Linked DNA regions of Alligator mississippiensis. The protein of the gene in region 1 binds, or shares a complex with, the protein of each later gene. Links are inferred from orthologs where the notes say so. Each region holds a gene or a part of one and is shown in the gene's direction. Other genes may lie near its edges.

Region 1 (10,240 bases):
ACGAGGCCACCTGGCATACCCAGCGGCAGCTGTCGTTGGAAAGCAGCAGAGCTCGCAGCGCGGCCGTCCGGCCAGCTCAGATGCCCAATTATTTTTCAAGCTCGACGAGCGCAGAACGGGCACCGAGGCCCGTTCCCCAGGGTTACGTTCCTCTGGGGAAGAGTCATAGGGAAGTGGGGCTGGAAGGGAGCTTCAGGGATCATCTAGTCCCGAGGCAGGATCAGCCCTGTCCAAACCAGCCCGTATAAATCCGTCGTCCAACACGACACTGTTAATCCAGACTCGATTGACGCAGTCAGCCCTGACACCACACAGACATCGCACCCGAGCCTGCGGCGAGCAGTGTGCTCTCCATGCAGCGCACTCTCTATCACACGTGGGGGCAGATAGTCCTCCTGACGTGTTGTCCTCCTCTTTGTGCCCTTGAGCATCTACCCCCACTTGTTTAACGCTCCCTCCCCATTTCTGCCAGTGGGCGCTGGCTTCCTCATAGCCTGCACAGAGTAGATGACAGCGCAGCGCGGTAGGAGTCCTCAGCTCGTCGCTGTTTGGGGCCAGCCCGTTAGAAAGAACATCTTCCCCTTCATTAAAGTCCCAGCGCTCCTTTCTGCCACGAGAGCAAGTGGGTGCGCCCCCAGCGAGCTGTCAGAGCTGGGGGTGAACACTTCCCTCGTCCCGGTGAGCCCTGGAGAAGGATGTCCCCGGAGTCATGTCGGACACAACTCGCCCAGGCGCTGGTGCCGACCTGAGGGCTCCCAAACCCCCAAAATGATCGGAGTGAGGGGCGAGCGAGACCTGTCTGAGGCCGATAAGTCAAGAACCGCGCACGTTTTACGCCTCTGCGCTCACTGAAAGCTTCGTGTCTCACCTCTTTTCCCAGGTATTAAGCTCCCGCAGCCAGAAGAAGCGTAAGGAAGAAGAACTCACGTCTTTTCCCAACTACTGTACAGGACGAAACAGTACAAGCTTCCCAAGTCAGAGCTGGACTTGCTCACATAGTAGACAGTGTGTTAGGTTATTTATTTATTAAACTAGAATACTGTACATGCGGCCTCTGCCAATGGTGTTTTTTACTGCCATGGGACTGTGAGACGGTTGATTTTTTCTTTTTTTCTTTTCTTTTATTTTTGGTCAGGGCGGGGGGGGAGGTGGAGGAAGCAAGTCGGAGGCAAAAAGGAAGGCTGGTTGAGTGAATTCGCTGCAAAGTCTCTGTCAGCTTCAAGTAACCCGCGATCGCTGTCCCCACTGGCATACACAGGTGTGGAGGGAAGCGGGCGAGACGTTACTCTGGGTTCCCGTTTTCTGCGTGGAAGCAAAATCCACGGCAGTCGCAAGAACCAGGCCTCAGTGTGCAGGGCCGGTTGGGGGGCTCCGCTCTTTACTTCTCCCACCGTTTGAAACCCAAACTAGCACCGCCTCGTTGGCTCTCGCTCTTGCTGGAGGGGTGCTACCGTGTTCGTGCCTCTCCCGGCGGGTCCCCAGGGTAGCGCTCTCCTTTCATTCTGCTGGTCCGGCAAGGCGGCGGCTCTGACCACGAGCCCCAGTGCTGCCGGAAGCTGCAGTCCAGGGGTTCAGTCGACAGCCCGAGCTGGGGACGCCCCTGCCCAGAATCGGGAGCCAGCAAGGCAGAGACGAGCCCGCTCTCAAGCAGTCCCTCTAGGGTTCCCGTCCATGGAGCACAAGACCCACCGATGCACCTGCTCAGCCGCTTTGCGGTACTTCTCTGCGGCTTACGACCAGTGCCACACTTCCACCAAAGGGATCTCCCTCCTGGACTGCGGCGTGGGGCCTCGAGCTGTCTCGTGGGAGAGCCTTGCTGCTCTGTTGACAAGCGCCGCCTCCATCTCGGGGTCAACCTTGGGGACGACACCCCCTGGGCGCAGTCTTCTCGCTGCCGTGGAGGGAGGCGGCAACGTTGATCGTGTCCAAGGACTGTTCTTGATGCTACGGATCCTTCTCCAGTCGGTATTTCAGCCCTCGCCTGGAGTCCTTGCCGTGTACAGCGACACCCGTTTAACAGAAACGCTTCCCAGACTCCCAGCGCTGGATCTGCCAGCGCCTTCTTTCCATAGTTCATCGCTGAACGAATTCTGGAAAACCTTTTTTGGTTATGAGAGCACCAAGCCCCAGCGCAATTACTACGCTACGGTCTCTGGCTTGAGGATTAGGTTTTCAGCTCAGAATCGCTGTCGTGTTTATGAGACATCGAGTCTCGAGGTGGGAGGGTCATGGAAGACAAGGCTGCCATCATCGCTTGTTCTGGCAGAGATGTCCCGCCTGGATAGTACGTACGATGCACCCAGACGCACGCCCCGCAAGATCACTGTTCGAATGGCCGTGTCTCATCGTACCGATCATCCTGAGAACATTGTTCCTCGTATCAGAACTGCAAGAACTTCAGCCGGCGCTTGCCAAACCTCCACGAGAAGCACTGACCTGAGCACCCAGGCCTTTATTCGTTGCTCTCCACCATGGTATCTGAGCCTCTCATCAGAGGAAGCTCTCTGGATCCTCAGCCTTCCTGAAAGAGGTTTCTGTGGTATTTTCTTTACACACTAAACCCCCCCAATGAACTGTGGTCTTACCTGCAGGGTGTAGGACTGTCGCCCCTAGAGATGACGACTGCTTCCTAGGCTGGCTCATCCCGCATCAGGATTGCTCCCTACAGCAAACTTGCCTCTCTTGCTTTTCAGTAAAACCTCAAAAAACCCACATGATGGAGCTTTCCTTCTAACGTGCTGTCGGAAACCCTCGGCAGCCACGTGTCAGGGACTCACGGCAGAATGATCAGCGATCGGGACGTTCCCTGAATCTTCTCTTCTTGGCAAATTATACTTGGATCGTAACATTTTTAGAAAGAGATCACCTGAAGTGTTTTCCTAAGGCAGGTTGGCCATATTCCATCACACCGGTCGAGTTGTCCAGTCTATAAGGACCTGACTTCGTTACAAGACTCATCCATTTGGTGTGTTTGCAAACGTGGGCTGAAATCTCGGTCCCCCGGGCCATCAGGGGCAGGCCTTCTGTTGACTCCATGGGAGCCAGGATTTCACCCTTAGGCTGCATGCTTTGGGGGGCAAAAGACCTGTGTTGCTCTTCAAGATCCTGGCATGTAGCGGCTGCCCGAGCGGCCAAGGAGGAAGGGACAGACCTAGAAGGGGAGCATGTCCCGGCAGTGCAACACACTGGTCGCAGCGCAGTATCCTGATAGCCAGGGACCGGGGAACACGCAACTCACATCCGATGTAGCTTAGACCGTGGTCTTGTCTCGGGTCTGACGGCACATCCATACATCCAACATGGCCACCTGCTCTTTATCTCACAGGGCTACGTCGGGCATGTGACACTGCTTGTTCAATGGGTGTTGGTTTTCGGCCCCGGTCTGCCTCTGCTCTGCAGGTCAACTTCTCACCGCTCGGGCCCGGGGTCAGTTAAGGAGCAATACGGTATTTCTGCAGCGACCGTTGCCCGCTGCCTCAGCCTCCCCAGGTGGGTGTCACGGCGCTGGTGTGAAATCCCGGCCTTGGCTAGCAACGGCTGACGCTGCTCTTCTCCCAGCACGCTCTCATCTGTGTTGGGCACGCATGTCCCAAACTGGGATAAAGACTGAGGCCCTTGGCTATACGGCAGCATGGCTGGCAGGGTTTGGGGCTGGCAGTGCATCTCACGTGGCCTGGAGCCCAGGGCACCCCACGGCCTGGCTCGTCAGCAGTCTCCCGTTGTGGGCAGCGGGCATCTGCTGTGCTGGCCGCACTTGGCACCAACTGAGCATGTGGCAACAGCTGATCTCCCCGAGAGCTGGTCTTTCACACCAGCGCGGCGGGACCGCCAGCCACCCACTACCTTATTCGTGGCACTGGGGACGCCGGCCAGCCATGTCATCTCTGGAGCGGAGCCGTGGGGGAGGGCAGCTGTGGGTCGCATCGGTCACGGCGGGAGAAGTAGGGTCCAAAGCCAGGCTGGTTCTGCCCCGGGGGAGACAGTGGTCCCATCCCCGCAGCTGAGGACAGTCGCTTCCCTGGTCCACGTCCGTCGGTAGTGTGGCCCGTGGTGGGGCTGTCCTCCCCGGAGAGCCTGTGCTGATTTTAAACCTATTTTATCTTCTGTGTAGATACAAGAAGGAAAAAATTAATGAATTAATAATGACACCAAATACTCCTAAATGACTTCTTTCCCCTTGAATCTTTTAAAAAGCTTTCTCTATGTGACTCCGCTTTTCCATAAGCTTTTCCGCTTGCTTGGCTTCGGATCAATCTGGGATCCTCCTCTCAGAGTTGTCCCCGGGGGGTTTCTTTGGGTTTCTTTTCTTTTTTTTTTAATGTAACAAATTCAAAAAGAAAAAAAAAGAGGGGGGGAAAGGAGAGCGGAGACACCAGCACGATGATCTGAGGAGGAGCATTCGGTTGTTGAACTTTAGAAACCAGGACAAAAATGAAATAATCTGTCACATCTACAGTCGGTGACGACATTGCGAAGCGTAACCTTTTCAAACGGATGTTTTAAATATTCATGTCTGAGTGATTGTATTAGAGCAGCAATAAAGACTCTGTAATCTCAAAACGCCAATAAAGCGTCGGAAAAGTGGCTGGTGCCTGGGCTGTGTTCACCGTGCACAGACAGCGGTGGGACCGTGGCCGGTGTCTGCCCCGGGCAGTCGAGCGCTAAAGAGGAGCCAAAAACCAGGGCTGAGAGGTGGGAACGGCAAGGGCCGCGCGGTCCCGGGGCAGCCGGACGTCACATCTGAGTCAACCCTGGGGCATGACGAGACTCCAGCCCCGCTCCCCTCGTCCCCTGTCCGGGCAGGGGGAGCAGAGCTGACTGTCTTGGCAGTTCCCGTGTCGGGGTGGCGGCTCCGTGTCCCCCTGGCAGGTTCTCACTTTCTCTGACCTGAGTGCCTCTCCCCATCCAGGCCCGGCACTGGGGGCACGTGGGACTGGGGGGCGGAAGGGAACCTAATGAGCAGTGACTTGGCAGCAATCTGTGCCGCCCGGGGCGCTGGCAGCCTTGGCTGCGGCCTGGGGGATCCTTTGCTGGGGAGTCTCCTGCCCCGGCCTGGCCAGGCTGGAAGGAGATGTCTCGTTTGACACAGGCCTGGCTTTTCCTGAGTTTCACCCGGATCGGCACGGCCATCTACACCCCTAGCCGTGCTGCTGCTCCTCCGCCAGCAGGGGGAGGGAGCGTGCAGCCTGGCCAGCAGTTGGGGCTGGGGACTGGGGAGGCCACCCTGCAGCGCAGTGCCGCGAGTGACACGAGCAGCGTCTGCGCGGCACGCGGGAGGTGAGGGAGGGACCACAGAGATCAGCGGCCAAAAAGGTTGCCCTTCCTCCCTCCACCCCCTCTATTAGGGACTGACCCGGGACAGCCCAGCTCCATCCCGGGGAAGCATTAGCGCCTTTTATTCTGGGCAGGGGAGGGACCAGACGCCTCTGCCCATAGGGTTGCGGGACCAGAGGCAGCTCCTGGCTCCAGCCCCGTGGGGGCAACTGGAAACCGTGCCCAATACCAGTGTGCCCTTCCCCGGCCCTGCCTGGACAGTCCCGTTCACCGCTCCTGTCCGCAGGGGGGCAGCGAGGGCAGCTGGAGGAGGAGGAGGAAGCACCAGCGGGGATGCCCCGAGCCCCCCAGTGATGCAGGAGTGGGGGGTCTGCGCGGGTGCGGTGGCACTGTGGGCTGGTGCTGGGGACCAGGCGTGGAGGGAGGTGGCAGGGAGGAGCCCGGGGTCCCTGGGCCTGGACCCAGCGCCTCGCCCCGCGCCTCCACGTGCCCTTCGCACCCCGCCCCTCCCCTGGCAGCCAATCGCCGCCAGGGGGGCGAGTCGCAGCCAGCCAATGGGCGCGCGGCGGGGCGCGGCGAAACCACGCGTTCCACTGCCCCGCCCCGTCCAGCGGCGCGGCCAACGGGCGCCCGGGGGTGTGTCCCCGCGGAGCCGCCCCCCGGCCAATGAGCGCGCGGGGGCGTGGCGGGGCCGCGGGAGCCGCCCCACGTGCGCGGCGGGCGCAGAGCGGCGCGGACACATGGAGGAGGCGGCGCCCGCCCGCGCCCACGGCCGGGACCTGCTCCGCGCCCCGCGCGCCGGCTCCCAGGTGGGTGCTATGCAACCTCCCCTGCCGTCGGGGGGAGAGAGCCGGGCCCCTCTTTCCGTGGGCTCTGGACCGGCTGCAAAGAGGGCAGGGGAGGGCAGGGGAGGAAGCGTGCTGAAGTCTCGGGACAGGAGCCGGGTGCGCGGCGCAGCCCGGCTGTGGCTGCGGGCTAACGAGGCCGCTGGATCAGTCTGGAGGCTGCCGGAGCGTGGGCTGGGAGGTCGCGTCCAGTCCAGCGCCCTGCCTGAGACAGGGTCAGCCCCGTCCAAACCCTCCTGTGCAAAGCACGATCCCCAACCAGAAGCAGAAAAGGGATTTGCTCGGGTCTGGGGTCTCTTGTTGGAAAGGCGAGGGCGGGCTGGGCGCCGCGTGCTTCACGCCGCTCGTTTAAAATATAGCCGGTACAGCAAGTCGTTGCCCCGGCTATAACAGTTCTCCGGCCGTGTTCGTGGCTCCAGATTCACGCCGCCGGGATTCCCATCCTAGCTTGAATCCCCCCCAGGAGCGACCGCAGGGTTTTGCTGGCAGCGGGTCCAGCCTGGCTCCTCGCTTCTGACCGCGCAAGTTGTTCACCCGCTTCACAGCCCTTTCCGTCCTGGCTCGGGCGGGCGAGCCTCCGATACAGCCCGTGGCGGTCGGCTTGTCACTAAAAGTCTGAATGCGAGTGGTTACGTGGTTACAATCGCACTTGGCGTTGGGGTAGGAGTGGGGGGAGGCGACTGAGGCTACATTTCACGAGCCAACTCTGCTCAAAAGCCTCCTCAGGCCAACGCAGATGCTCGCCGGGCCCGGAAACGGCAAGGCAAAGCCCGCAAGAGGGGTGCCGGGGACGTGATCGTTGTGAATAGCGGCAGTGTTAGTTCTTCCTCCGGGTGCCGGGTCCTCGTTAATGCAGTGCCTCGGCGTGGTGACCTTGGACCTCTTCTTGCTGTGCCGGTGATAACGGCTATCACTGCTATTCGAGTGCGACTGATACTGGACATCAGTTTCTGCATGTAGGGATCAGGAAACAGGTGGGGGTCCACGTTGCCTCCTCTGTCGGCCGAGGGGCGCAATCACGTTCTGTTGCTCGTTCTGCACCCTTCGTAGCACGGTGCCAGGCTCGCCTGTCACAGGCCGTACCCTCCCAGGACATTAGGCACGTCTACACGTGCACTTTACTGCATAGTAGATTGTTTTACTGCGCATTAAAGCATCACATAAACACTGTGACGTTATGCTAATAGCCTACTGCGCATTAAGTGTCACTAAAAAAAGCATGCAAACGTGCTCCTGCGTATTAGCACAGCCGAACATGCGTTCATGTAGCCCTGCACCTTGGAGGTACTAATTTACTGCACATGAGGAAAGGCGCATTAATGCAAGTGTAGACGCACCCATTAAGTTTAGCCTGGCAGACTGCATGTGCCGCTTAATGCAGTCCCGTGTTTTTCAGTTCTTCTCAACTCTGAATAATTTTTTGGTTCCCTTCGGCTGCTATTTGTGCTGCCTCGTGTCCTCTAGCGGGTCGCGTGCACATGCTCACGTTGCCTTCCTGCACTTGTTTCTTCAGATCCTTTGCAAAAGGTTCATGCCCCAGTTCCTTGATTTGGCCGGCAGAGTTTCCACAGGGTAGAGACCTACTTGCAGCCTGAGCAGCTGTGTTCTGCAGAGGCGAAACGATAGCCTCGGGACACTGTAGCATGGGTGGGGAAAATACCCAATGGCTGGTATTCGACTAGCAGGTGCAAATCTACCTGACTTCAGACTAGCACAGCTGCCTGCCTCTCCCTGGTACGACACCTACACGGTGCATCGTCACTGCGGGGCCCGGGAAATACGGGAGATGTCTGTGGACAGCCACTGCAACATGGCTGGAAACGGAGGGAGAGTAAAGTCACGGCTCGGTAGCGAGGAGGGAAACGGGAGGACACCGTGCCTGGTTGTGACCCTTGTTAACGACTGGCTCTTGCATTTTGTATTGTGATTTCAGGAATCTTCCCCAGCTCGCGTGCCCTCGTACGCTTGTATCTACTAATATTTTCAATTAAAAAAAAAAAGACAGACAAAAAAACCCTTTAGTGCTAGGTTTTCTGTCTGCACGTGCCCTGAGCGGTCCCTTGTGCTGCCAGTCGCCCCTCCGCAGGGTTCCTCATGGAGCATAACACACCAGCCTTAATTTAGGAAAGCATCCCAAGTATTTGTATCTGCATCTATAGATAGGTGGGTCTTCTCTGGTGGTGGAAGTGCGGGCAGGCAGGCGTTCAGGCACCACCTTGGGTGGCATTTGTAGCATGGTTCAGAGCATTGTCGGATGCGTAAAAGAAAGAAAAGTCCCTTTTAAAAAAGCTTTTAAAACTTTTTTCTTTAAAAAACGTCTCTCTCTAAACAGAGCTAACTACCGCTTCCTTGTAAAGAGCCAGGCTCTCGGACAGGTTGGAGCAGCCCGGGATGCCCACGTGCCACTATTAAATGTAGGAGTTGCAGTCTGGAACCGCTGGGTCCTTGTTTGGGTGATAGCAACACCCAAGTGGCTTTGGAAACGCGATCAAAATAGCCTTTCCGACCAGGCGGTGTATGGTAAATGGTCTGCACGCGTTCCCTGCCCCGGCCCTAGAGAAGAGCTCCCGTCTGCTGGGGTGATTGCTCCCTGGGGCCAAGGTTTGATCAACTTTCATGGATGCTGCAAAAGTCAAACGGGGAGATCCATCCTGATGTAGCCTTAGCATCCTCTCTCGACTCTCCTGGCCTCGTTCTTGGGACATCCCTGGCTGCTCAGTTTGACACGCGCATCGATTAGCAGAATCGTGATCGCTCCAGTTCCTCTGGATGGGAAACGGGCCCTGACGCTGCATTAACAAAGACTCTTTCTGCCGCAGGGTTCAGTGGACTACCCCAGCCTGGAGTTCGAGTATGGGGACACCGACGGCTACACGGCTGAACTGTCAGGTAAAGAGGCACGCGGGGAGCCGAGGCTTTTGCTGCGCACGAGTTCAACTTCGCTATTAATAGCTGCCTGCTGGGTAGACAGCGAGGCTGGGGTTGGTGGGAGATGCATATTTAATAATATCATCCTATATTAATAGAGCGCCACTCACCCCAGAGGATTGCAGAGTGCTCTGCAAACCACGCGCAGCAGAAGTGACTTCCTCCCCCGCTGAAACGCAGCCATTCGCGGGGCGGGACAGGAGAGCTGCGAACGGTGCCGCTGGTTTGGGTGGGAAGTGAAATGCGTGAGGCGTGAGGGCCTTGTAGCCAAGTTGCTGGAGATATTTGAATGCCCTGATGTCACGTCGGCAGTGGCTTGTGGTGTGCGGGGCCCTCCTCTTCCACCCCTCCCTGACCAACCTGGATTCATCCATGTCTGAGTTCACTAATCATTAGAGCACATGCACGTGCACATACACATACACGTGCGCATGGCACCTGTGGTGTCTTGAATAGTGCAAGGCGTCTGGGAAGGATTCGGGCAAGAGAAATCGGCCTCTTCCCCGATCCCCTCTCTCCTGTATGCGAAGAGCTCACATTGGTAATGTAGTTTCGTGCCAGTCTGTTACGTGCTTTGCAGCTGGAACAGGGCTGGGATCTCTGCTGGGGCTCACGCTGACGGCCGATAGTCCAGCTTTCCTCGGTTAGCAATGCGTGGGCGACGCGTGCTCTTGGCCGCGGTGGAGGGCTGAAACGGGCACTTCCAGACCCAAGCGCCAGCACAGTTACCGCTTGCAAAACTCCAGGTTCAGCAGCTGGGGGATGCAAGTGCTTGTATCCTCTCCGTAGCAGCAGAGAGAGGGCTCGTAGCATCCGCTCATCAGTGCTTTCCCCAGGCATCAGCACTCAGGGGACCGAGACGCCCATCCAGTAACCAGACGCTGCTTCATTAAACCACATCGCTACCCTTCTGCAGCAAAGATCCCTCTCTTGCTGATGCTAGATTGCAGTTCAGGTGGTCGAAAGCTCTTGGAGCAGGATCATCGGGGACATGGTCCCACGTCACAGTGAGGTCGGGCCTTTCTCTACTTTGTGTCTGCTGCTCTAGTGAAAATGCAGCCTGTGGATGTGTGGGCTCAGGCCCAGGCAGTGAAAGGCTGGGGCATCCCCTAACATCCCTGAATCTAAGGGCTCCACCATTTTTGGAGGAAAATAACAGCAAGAGAGCAGGGAACCCAAAGCACGTTCGCTGC
Region 2 (11,135 bases), on another chromosome or scaffold:
CAGTTTTGATAAATTTGAGTAGATGTACAGCTTTGTCGGCCCTTTGTCAATTCTGTCTCCTTAGTTGTGTACTCTATCCACTGAATGCAGAAAGGTTCTTGTGGAAAAATCAGTGTGAAATCATTAGAACTATAGTGGAACACACACTCAGAAAACACAATAATTAAGGCTGAATAAGCAAATGCCAATCTGGCATTTCCTAAAGTTTGAGCATTTGACTTTTCAACTTATATGTTTCTGTTAACATTAGTGTTTTGTACTTGAATTCATATTTTTTATGGAAAAAGTAAAATGACACACAAATGTTACTAATATATCACTGTAATAGCCACCTTTTCCTTCCATTCCAAAATGTATTCTAAACAAGTTTTCTATCCTAAATTTTAATACCAGGGCACAGACTGTTACCACAAACAAAATCTAGCAAAGAGAAGTCTTCTTTTTGCTAGCTCTGATGTTATGGATTTCTGTGAAAAGAAGCCTGGCCTGGCTTGTGTGCACACTACTCTCCCCTTTACATCACCTTAGGGGATCTAATGGATGGATTCTAGAAGAAGGGATGAGATGCTCTGAACATGGGCTGGACTCAAGATGGACATGGGCTGGACTCAAGAGACCATGTGTGAGAAGATAGTCTGATCTGCTTGTTCCTGCCCTCTCCTTCCCCAAACATGCTGCTACACTTGCTTTGACAGGTTCCGGTTGCCAGTATTCCTTTGGTAGCAGCACACACCCAGCTCTCTACAATGTTTGCAATAAGCAAATAGTCTGGCATGCTGCTCAAAGCTTCCTGAGAAACACAGGCGAGGGGATGGAAATGGTGATTATTAATGTTTTATAATTACACTCACTCCAAATGGACTTTTCATGGGACAAGAAAAAGACAAATCTAACTTATCAGCATTCACTCTATCAAAATTCAAAGGACCAGTGCAAATAGTTGAAGTATTAGAGCTTTGTTAAGAAAAAAGAAACCATCCCCCAAAAGTACCAATCCTGCCCAGAATGCCATGCAATAGAGACCTGTTGTGCATACGCAGAATGCGAGCGCAATTAATACTTCTGATGTTTGTTACTAGCTAATTCATACTAGATTAAGTTAAAGATAGGAAAAGTGGGGCTTCTCTTTAGAAAAAATTAATACATGAGAAAAAATATACATGCCTTTTAAGTTTCTAAATATTTTTTCAAACTCCTGTGACCAGAACAAGACAGGCACAAAACATAGCGAAAAAAAGTTGTGGCATGTTTACTATGTGGTGCCCGGTTTGTTCTGAAAGCAGGTTAGACATGCGCTGTATAGACTAAGATAGATGTAGATGCAGATGTAGCATGAGATTTTGTGGGCGGAAGCTTACTTCATTAGATGCTTGTTCTGATTACCCCGATGAAGAATGTCTTGCGTTCGAAAGCTTGTCTAACTCTATCCCAGCTACACAGTTGGTCCAATAAAAGAGATCACTCCAAGAAATCCTCCCCTCACATAATTTCTGGACAATCCCGGCTACACCACTACTCTTACACAACCAAATGAATGCCTTGCATTTCAAAGCTTGTCTAAATCTATCCTCAACAGTGCAGTTCAGTCAATAAAAGATATTGCCCATAACAACCCTTGCTTTTTGCACAATCCAGGCCTGTCATGGCTACAATATCCCCTCAGCGCTACCAAGTAGCCTTTGCTGCTGGGCTTGTTTGTAATGGAGGGCTGATTTTGCCCACAGTGCACCCTCAGGCTGCCCTTGGCTTCGTGCTCAGTTGGATCGGTGACTGAGGGGGCCAGTTTACCAGGGGTTTGGGGATTCTCCATTACCTCTCAAAAGCCCCTTTGCGGGTGGCTTCTGTCTGATCTTTACAAGAAGGCTGCGTCTTAAGGCCTGCCAGTCCATAGGGGCTGTCGTGCCCGCATGCCATAGTCTTGTTCTCATGGCTGCTGTGCCCATGCGCCATGGTCTCCCTCAGCCAGTGGGCTCCATCTCCACCTGCTCAGCAAGGGCCTCTCCATCCGCCTGTTAGGCAGGGGCAGGGCGCCCAGTCCTCCCTGCCCTGCAGGCCTCCTTCCATTCATGCCAAGGGCCTTCCCTGGACTGGCTTCCCAACCCCACCAGGGCACAGGGGCAGTCATAAGTGCCCCCAGGGGGCTGGTCAGCCTCCTCTGGACCCACCCTCCAGCCTTCTTTAGTGGTCTTTGCCCCCAGATCCACCCCTCCCAGCCCTTTGTGTGCACAAAAGGAGGTTGTGAAGGGAGGTGAGGGGTACACCAGCCAAATACCCCTTATGGGGCAATGGGGGCACTACAAGGGCCCACACAGGGGTTGTTTGAGCATGGCTGTGTGGGGAGTACGTGTGTCCTGCTAAAAATATCTATCTAGCAGGACACACATGCTCCCCACAGGCCCGCCCAAGCAGTCCCTTCATGGGCCCTCATAATGCCCCCATCATGCCTTGGTGTATCATTTTAATCACGGAAAAATGTGGATTTTAGGTTACTTTTTGCAATCCCAAAATTAGGGATATTGTTTCAATCAGAAAAAAACAGGAGCCCTGTTTATTAGACAGGTACTGGGAGGGAGGGGGGGGCATCTCTTCCACCCCAAGACGGCGTCTTCCCGTGGGAGGGGGGCAGGGCTTCGGGTACCCCCAACCGCCGCCAAGGAACGGGGTCGCGTCACTACGCATGCGCTGCCCCAGCGGCCCCCCCCCCCCGGCTGCCCCCGCGCTCGGGAGAGGCGCGGACAGGGTCTGTCGGAGAGGTCACCCCTCCCGTGCTTCCACTCTGAATGATCTGGGAGCGGCGCCGGGCAGGTCTCGGGGGTGGGGCCTGGTGCAGCCGGCAGGTAGCAGGGGGCGGGGCGCGCGGCCGAAGCCGCGCCTCTCTCCCCTCCCCCTTCGGGCTGTTCTCGTGCTGCCGGCGGGGCCCGCGCGAGACCCGGAACGGCCGCGCCGCGCGGGGGATGGGGCGGGCGCCGCAGCGGCTGCAGCACCCGTGACCGCCCGACCCGGCCCGGCGGGGCGCGGGGCTGGACGATGAGCTGAGCGGAGCGGGACACCCGGAGCCGCCGCCGCCGCCATGGCGCACTCGCCGGTGCAGTCGGGCCTGCCGGGGATGCAGGTGAGTCCCACGGCTCCTCGGCCCGGCCTGGCCCAGTGAGCGGGGCAGGGTTTTCCCCGCAGGCAGGCGACCTAAGGAGAAGGAGGGGAATCGTGACCTTCAGGGCCTTCTTGTGGGGGGGTACGTCCGCCCAACGGCCCGCGGGGTCGAGCCCCGGCTTGGGCGAGCCCGCGTGACGTCACTGCTCCCGCTCCCCCGACGGGGTGGTGCTGCGGGGGATGCCTGCTCCTCCCCCTGCTCCTGCTTGGTCCCGGCTTCAGCTCGCCCAGATGTTTTTGTGCCTGTGTCTGTGTATCAAAGCTGGAAAGCCTGTAAGTCTGCACAACTAGATACTCTGTGTATGTATGTGTGTGTGTGGACACACACACACACACACACACACACATATTTATCTACATCTCTAAAAACATGGACAATTGGAAAGCCTACACACACCCCTCCCCCCATATGCATGTATGTATGTGTGTGTGTGTGTATATATTTATTTATTTATTTATTTATTTATTTATTTGTCTGGCTAAAAACGTGGATATCTGGAAAGTCAGTAAGGTGTGCATGTATGTTAGAAATCCTATAAGCCTACACAGATGCACATTAACACACCCAAAACATGGATAACTAGAAAGTCCTCCCCCACACATGAACATATGTGTTGTCTGTCTGCACCCCCCCCCCCCCAATATTTGTAGATTGTAAGGCTGGAAGGGACCTTGGAAGATCATTGGGTTCAGCCGCTTGCACCTGGCAGAAAAAATAACGGGGGCAAGGTAATTGTCTAGTCTCCTCTTGAAGAATTCCAGGGTAGGTGATTGCACCACTTACGGAGGGAGATTATTTCACAGTCTAGACACCCTGACTGGACACCTGGATATATACATATGTATACATACATATATACACATGCATGCATATGTATCTGGATCTAAGAACATGGATAGTTGGAAAGACAATAAAGTGTGCATATGTGTTTGTGGCTTTCCAGCTAGCCATGTTTTTAGGTATATACATGTTATATATTGGGGTGTGTGTGTGTGTGTGTGTGTGTGTGTGTGTGTGTGTGTGTTTACAGGCTACAGCTACTCAGTATCGTAGTTATGTTCTTGAAAAATGCGACTTTAAGTGAAACCGTGTTAACCGAATCCAGTTATGTCACAGTAGTTACCTACTAGCAGGTGGCGGCCAAGCAACGTTATAACCAAACATTGCACAACTTTAAACGAGTATGTTCTCTAACAGCTCAATAACATAGAAATGAAACAGCATTAACCAGGATGATGGTAAGTCAGGAGTACCCTGTATATGTGTGCGTGTATGCATATACACATGAACATGTATAGCTATATCTAAAAACATGTATTGGATAGCTGGAAGGCATATGTATCTCTCTTCTTTCCCCCCTGCAATATATTTAAAAACATAGCTGGAAAGCCTATAAAAACATGTATGTGTACATATATAGATATGTCTGTATCAGTGTGTGACTGTAGATTTTTATAGGTTTTCTAGCTATCCAGTATGTGTTTTTTCAGACACCAGAGGTTTGAAATTAAAACTTCACATTCATGTGTCCTTCACTGGTGACTATCTGGTCAATGTGGCAGTGTGAAAATAGATAAGAAGTAATAAAGAACACGTTAAAATAGTTTGTACAACATATGCATGGCAGGGTTTGTTTATTTTTTCTCTCTTTTTTTTTAACCCTTCAGATTGTGTCCCCTCACTCCAGTCCTCCTTATAAACTGGAGATCTCTCTTTGGGGCCAGCTTCTAGGCCTGAGTGTCCGTCCATCTCCTGTACATACCTTTGAAATCACTCGTTTTTTTAAAGGAACAGTTTTGTGGTTCAGTGTGTTTGATTTTCCCTTTTTTCCAGTAATAGAAGATGTAATGTGTACTATAGACTATTTGAATGTGATGGATGAAATGGGAATTCATAAAAGGCATAAGATAAATTTATTGTTTCATAAAAAACTGCAAATTTAAAGACAATGTTTCAGATTAGGCTCGTAGGATAAACACTTACATGAGCAAAATTATACATGTATGTATTATGCTTGATGTCAATGGTAAAATAAAGCTTTTGCTTTGTAGGTAAAGAGCTCTGGATAGTATAAAGGTGGTATTATGTGAAATAATAGAGACCCAGAAACTTGTACAGTCTCTGCCCACATGCTGTAAGTGTGAATTCCTAAATTGTAAAGCCTCAATTATAACATTTAATTTGTCATAGTAGCGGTTATCAAAATTACAGGCCATCTGCAAATACCATATTTACTCAAATATAAGATGATCTCTCAATAATTAGGTTCTATAGACGCTAAACTTATAAATTTGTTATAATTTTCCAGGTGTAGAATCTAATTATTGGAGGTCTGGCTTGAATTTGTTCCCCACCCTGTGCTGCAGCAGGGAAAATAGATCTTGGGGGTCAGATAGCTGGGTGCCTCACTCTGCTTCCTGTGAGTTTCTTCCTCTTGCACCTCTTTCCCCAGCCCCACATCAGGCCCTGCTCTCACTGAGTACTTGGAAGTACTCAGAAACCTCACCTCCCCAGGCAGAGAAAGGATCCGTGTGCTAATTAACCCTGACACAACTAGAACTAGGTGTTCTTGTTGGGAGTCCTGGGATCCTCCAAAATTTATGTGAAGTTGAGGCAGAAGGCAACATGGTTCAACTTCACCTTATGGAGGATAGGGCCATGCTAATATACAGCAAGCTGAGAGAGGGGGTGACAGGGAATCTGGGTGAACTGTTTGGGCCCTGTTTGGTGATGTTTGCCAGATATTTAAGGCTGGTGAAGAAACAGATAATTGGAAATGGGAAAGAAAGGGGCAACTCAGTTGTGGGAGTGAAGAGTAAAAAGCATGCAGTGTAGTGGCTCACCAAATACAGTCCCCATCAGTGCTGACTGTGCTCGGTGGGGCGCTAGTAAATGTTATTGAGATGGGTTGTGGTAACTCATCCTCAGCCTTTTTGGCTAAGTTCAAATATAGCATTTTTGGCACCAAAGGTCACGGCTGGCTCTGGCCCTCCTGGTGCCAGCCTGGTATTGCAGTACCTTTAAGCCCAGTGCCAGTTTCTTGTGGAGGGAACACACAACCACACGGTTCCCATGAGCATGTTTGTCCAATGTGGGCCATGTGTTTTATAGTCATGCTCAGTGTTGGCTGCATTTAATCAGCTTCATAGCTGGATTCCATTACTGAGCCTATACTGCTTTTGGCAGCAGTTCAGTGATAGGCAATATATTTAATGAGGTTTACTTGTATGTGAATGTAAGATGAGGGGCTTTTTTAAGCCTTGTCTTAAATATGGTAATTTGAGGGTGAAAAAAGGCATCTACTCACGTTTGAATGATTGATTATTTTTAAAGAAGGTAGGCTTATCTTTGGTTAAAAAATGTTGCTGATTTTTCCAAGGAGAAAAACGATGTGTTTTTCCTTTTTAAATAAATAATAAATTCATATACCTCATCTTCATATCATAATGCAAAGTTTTCCTTTTAAATAGAAAAGAGGTAGCAATCAGTTTATCTTAGTATAAGTTTGCTTTCTTTTAGAGGCAAAATTTTCTGGGTAGGGAATAATGTGTGGGGTTTTTTTTATTAAATGCTGTTTAGACATGATTTTTTAAGAACAGTACAAATATTTGTGTATATTATTTTTTAGATAATATTCTTCAGTTCACTTCTTAAACCAAGTACTTGGAAGTTAAGAAAAGCACAAACTGAAGTGGTATCTGTAAATGTCCCACTATTTGTTCCTGGGAACAGACCAAGGTTTGTTTTGGGATAACTACTTGAAATCCTCAGCTCCACTGCCCTCATACCAGACCTCACAAATACAGCAGGGGAGTCTCTGCCAGCTCGAGGTGTCCTCCCTTTGGATTGTGCAGACACTTTTAGGTCCCCCTTTCCATGGAATGGGCTAGCCTGGAATACCTGCCTGGTGATCACACTGTGCCACAGGCAGTCATTAAGGAGCAAAACAACAAAATAATTTATTATATAAAGGGTTCATCCGTCCTGCTAATTCTGCCAGCCCTGATTGCTGGGGACCTAGACTCTTCCAAGGCCTGAGAAAATTCAAAGACCGTAGCCATGTTACTGCCCCCCCCACCAAGCATAGTCCCAGTTTCTCATCCAGAATCCTCTGGAAACTTGGAAACTTTTCTCCCTGGGACATCTGGCATTCCTCTGGCTGATAGGCCATTTCTCTCAAGTGCCTTTGCTATAAAGGAGTTAATTTCTCCATTGTAGGCGGACAATGCCTTGGGTGCCAGACCCAATAACATTCTGCTTATGTCTGGGAGTGGCAGTTGTTTTTGCTTTAGTGTGTGTGCTTGCCATAGCACAGTAGAATCTACCTTTTTCCTCCTTAATTAGGCATTCCTAAGTTCCTCTTATTAAACCACATTCAAAATCAGAAAAGTACCTAAATACTTTCATCATGACACCCTATAAACCTCCAAACCAAAATGGTGTTTGTGACAGCAAGTCTGAGGGGAAAAAGGGAGTCCAGGAGAGCTGGATGTATTTTATGGAGACTGTATTAAGGCTGCAGAAACAAGCTTCCTGATGCAGTGGAAGAATGAGCAGTGCAAGCGGAGACCATCCCGGCTAGACAGCAGTCTCTTTAGTGAGTTGAAACTCAAAAAGGAATCCTATAAAAAGTGGAAACTTGGGCATGTTAGTAGGGAAGAGCATGTAGGGAGAAAATGAGGAAGGCCAGAGCATGATTAGAGATGCAGCTAGAGAGGGCAAATGAATGTCAATAGTAAGAGGAACACCAAAGGAAGTATAGGTCCCTTACTGAAGGCAATCCAGGTACAGATAATGCAGAGAAGTCTGAAGTGTGTGCATTTTCTCCCTACTCCCCCATAGTGCAGCTGCTACCATCTCTTCCTGCCACACAGGCAAAGCCCCCTTCTTCCCCAAAACACCACAGAAGCCCTATGATTCTGTGACCTTGTTTACTTGCTGTCCTACTTTGTGAAGACATTACCAGATGACAAACACAGCTGGCAGCAAAGATAGGAAAGGAGACAGCCTAGAGTAGCAGAAGACCAAGTTAAAGGTTACTTAGAGAAACTAGATCTTCTCAGGTTAGGTTTTTAGGACAGGACTAGGAGCAATGGTTTCAAACAGCAGCAGAAGAAAATTAGGTTGGAGATTAGGAAGAATTTTGCACTGTGGATGATCAGTCATTCAGATGGGGTTCCTATTGAAACCGTGGGCTCTTCATCCCTGAAAATTTCTAGAAGTTAGATGGACTTTTAGCTGAGTTGGTTTAGTTAGAGATGATCCTGCCTTGAGCAGGGGGCTGGATTAGATGACTTCATGAGATTGCTTCCAGCCCTACTTTTCTATGATCCTGTGTTCAGTGTATGAGGTTTTGAATTGGGTGGTGTTAGAACCGAGCACCCAAACTTGTCTGTTTTGGTTTAAGTGATTTTCTAGCACCATTGCAGAGTGGGAGCAGGGGAATTAAATGTTTCCAGGTGTCAATAAACTGCTTAAAGAATGACATCATCCTTTTTCTCCTTTTGACCCCATGCTGCATTAACTATGTAGGTACTGACTTTTGCAACAAATAGAGGTGCATCGATATGTTGGTCCTTATCTGATCAGCACTGATAAAGGGAAAATTGACATTATCGACAGTTCGCTTTTTTTGGCTGGGGTAGCCAATAATGCCACTGATAAATGCTGCCTGCTTACGCACAGCCACAGCATGCACACAGCCAGGAATGCAGCCTGGCAGCTTGGAGACCATCATCCAGCTGGTAAGTCTGTGGGAGGGAAGGGTTGTGGGGGAGCCAGTTTGAGGCCCCCATAGGAAGGGAGGGAGTGGGGCAGGGGCTGCTGGGAGGCGGCGGAGGATGGAGTGGAGCCATGGGTGGCACATTTTGGGGGTGGGGGTGGGAGGGCGACTTCCCACTGCTGTGCGCACCACCTGGGGAGGCATGGAGGCATGTGCCTTCTGGATTTGTGCATGGGGTGATGGCGTGCAGCCTGCTGGTAAGGACCAGGGGCTGTGTTGGCCTTTTCCCGCAGGGGTCTGGGTCGGGGCTGCACTTGGGAAGGGGTGGGCAGCAGCAGTGCCAGGAGGGGAGCTACGCTGGATTTTGGGGTGACTGTAGCCCACTCCGTAGCCCCTCCTCCCAGTGCTGCCCTCCCTGAGCACAGCTCTGGCCTACGCCTCCTGCCAGTAAGAGGCAGGCGCGGCCCCTGGCCATGAGCCCACAACAGGCAGCCTCTCCTCATCCCTGCACAAATTGGGGGGACACATGCCCCTCATACCTCGTCCCCCCTCATCACTGACTCCAAGATGAACATGGGCCGACAGTGCGAGGTCACAGTCGGCAGGGCTAACTGGACCTTATCGTGCATCCACAGGTGCATCTCAAGTAGGTCCAAGGAGGTGATCCTCCCCCTGTACGTGACGCTGGTCAGACCACAGCTGGAGTACTGTGTCCAGTTCTGGGCACCCCCTTCAAGAGGGATATGGACAACATTGAGAGGGTCCAGAGGAGGGCCACCCGCATGATCCAGGGACAGCTGGGCAGACCCTACAATGAGAGGCTACGGGACCTGAACCTGTTCAGCCTTCACAAGAGAAGGCTGAGCGGGGACCTGGTGACCGTTTATAAACTCACTGGGGGGGACCAGAAGGGTTTGGGGGAGACCTTGTTTCCCCTAGCGCCTCCCGGGATAACAAGGAATAACGGCCACAAGTTGTTGGAGAGTAGGTTTAGATTAGACATCTGTAAGAACTACTTCACAGTTAGGGCGGCTAGGATCTGGAACCAACTTCCAAGGGAAGTGGTGCTGGCTCCTACCCTGGGGGTCTTTAAGAAGAGGCTTGATGTCTACCTGGCTGGGGTCATTTGAGCCCATTTTTCTTCCTGCCCAGGCAGGGGGTCGAACTTGAAGATCTACAAGGTCCCTTCTGACCCTACTTCTATGATTCTATGATATAGCTTGTATGTATGGCTGGTAAGGGGGTATGAGCTAGAACTGGAGTAGGAGTGCAGGTTTGGCTTGAATGTGTATCTAATATACAGCAGATTCTGATTGACTCGTCTTCAAAATTAATCATCAGTATGCTTCTTTCTAGTCTCCTTCCTTTCTATTTATGTGGTTTTTGCACCTAGTGGGCTGAGAGAGCTTCTTTCTTACTTGCCTTTGGAAGTTTTGGGAGGCTTGTTCAGTAAAAAGTCCATAGGAATCTACTGAGTAAAGCCCTAGCAATTTTATCTTTGGAGCTGTACTCTATTGTAACTCAAGACCTTACATCAGGGGTCAGTAGTTTGAGAGTGGGGGTGCTGCTTGAACAGATCTTAGTGTTGAGTTTGGGCTGCTTCCACCCTAGTTCACACTGCTGCTGTCACTGCTCTCCCCCCACTGCCACAGTGCTGCTGCTACCATCTCTTCTTGCCACACAGGTGAAAGCCTCGTTCTCCCTCAAAACACCACTGAAGCCCCATGACACTGTGGGCCAGGTAAAATGGCTCCATGGGCCAGGCCTGCAGGTTCCAGGTTGGCGGCCCCCCCCTCCCCCCCTGCAGCTATATGGAAGCTGTTTATCTTGGTTTTGATTTCAGCAGCAAAATAAATATCTCAGCTATGTGGCAGCAGCGGTGCCAACTTTCACTGGCCAAAGGACAGTAGTACTGAGTAAGTAATGTGCTATGGGCAACACCAGATTCTTCTTTCCCTATCAACCTCAGTTTGAACTTCTTATTTTCCTGTGACAGCAAGCAGCATAGGTGGGTCTTGTGGATGATGTTGCTCATGAGCCAACTGTTGAACATCACAGTTGAACAGTCTGAATAGGGCTAACTGAATTTTTTTCAGGTCCTCTTCTCTCACTTCCAAAGGTATCAGGTTAAGTGATGTTTTTCATGTTTGCAGTTCTCTTCTTTTTCCAGAATTTAGAAACCAGGGAATTGAATTGGGCTTTCTCTTCCTGATTAATTATTCAGCAAAAGGTAACTATATAAAGCTGCATGTAGTGTTATAA

The links.
Region 2: STRIP2 (region 1) and STK24 share a complex: the UniProt entries of both Homo sapiens proteins name them as parts of the core of STRIPAK complex. The link is inferred for Alligator mississippiensis from reciprocal best matches to the Homo sapiens genes STRIP2 and STK24.

Annotation. Positions count from the first base shown.
Region 1 is NC_081827.1:5,104,618-5,114,857, forward strand, and holds the start of STRIP2 (striatin-interacting protein 2), read left to right. Parts: upstream 1-5,985; 5' UTR 5,986-6,014; coding exon 6,015-6,083; intron 6,084-8,938; coding exon 8,939-9,008; intron 9,009-10,240. Other genes in the region: AHCYL2 (adenosylhomocysteinase 3), read left to right, coding at 881-887. UniProt on the Homo sapiens protein: Plays a role in the regulation of cell morphology and cytoskeletal organization. Required in the control of cell shape. Calmodulin-binding scaffolding protein which is the center of the striatin-interacting phosphatase and kinase (STRIPAK) complexes.
Region 2 is NC_081824.1:365,299,265-365,310,399, forward strand, and holds the start of STK24 (serine/threonine-protein kinase 24), read left to right. Parts: upstream 1-6,793; 5' UTR 6,794-6,889; intron 6,890-8,683; 5' UTR 8,684-8,802; coding exon 8,803-8,895; intron 8,896-11,135. UniProt on the Homo sapiens protein: Serine/threonine-protein kinase that acts on both serine and threonine residues and promotes apoptosis in response to stress stimuli and caspase activation.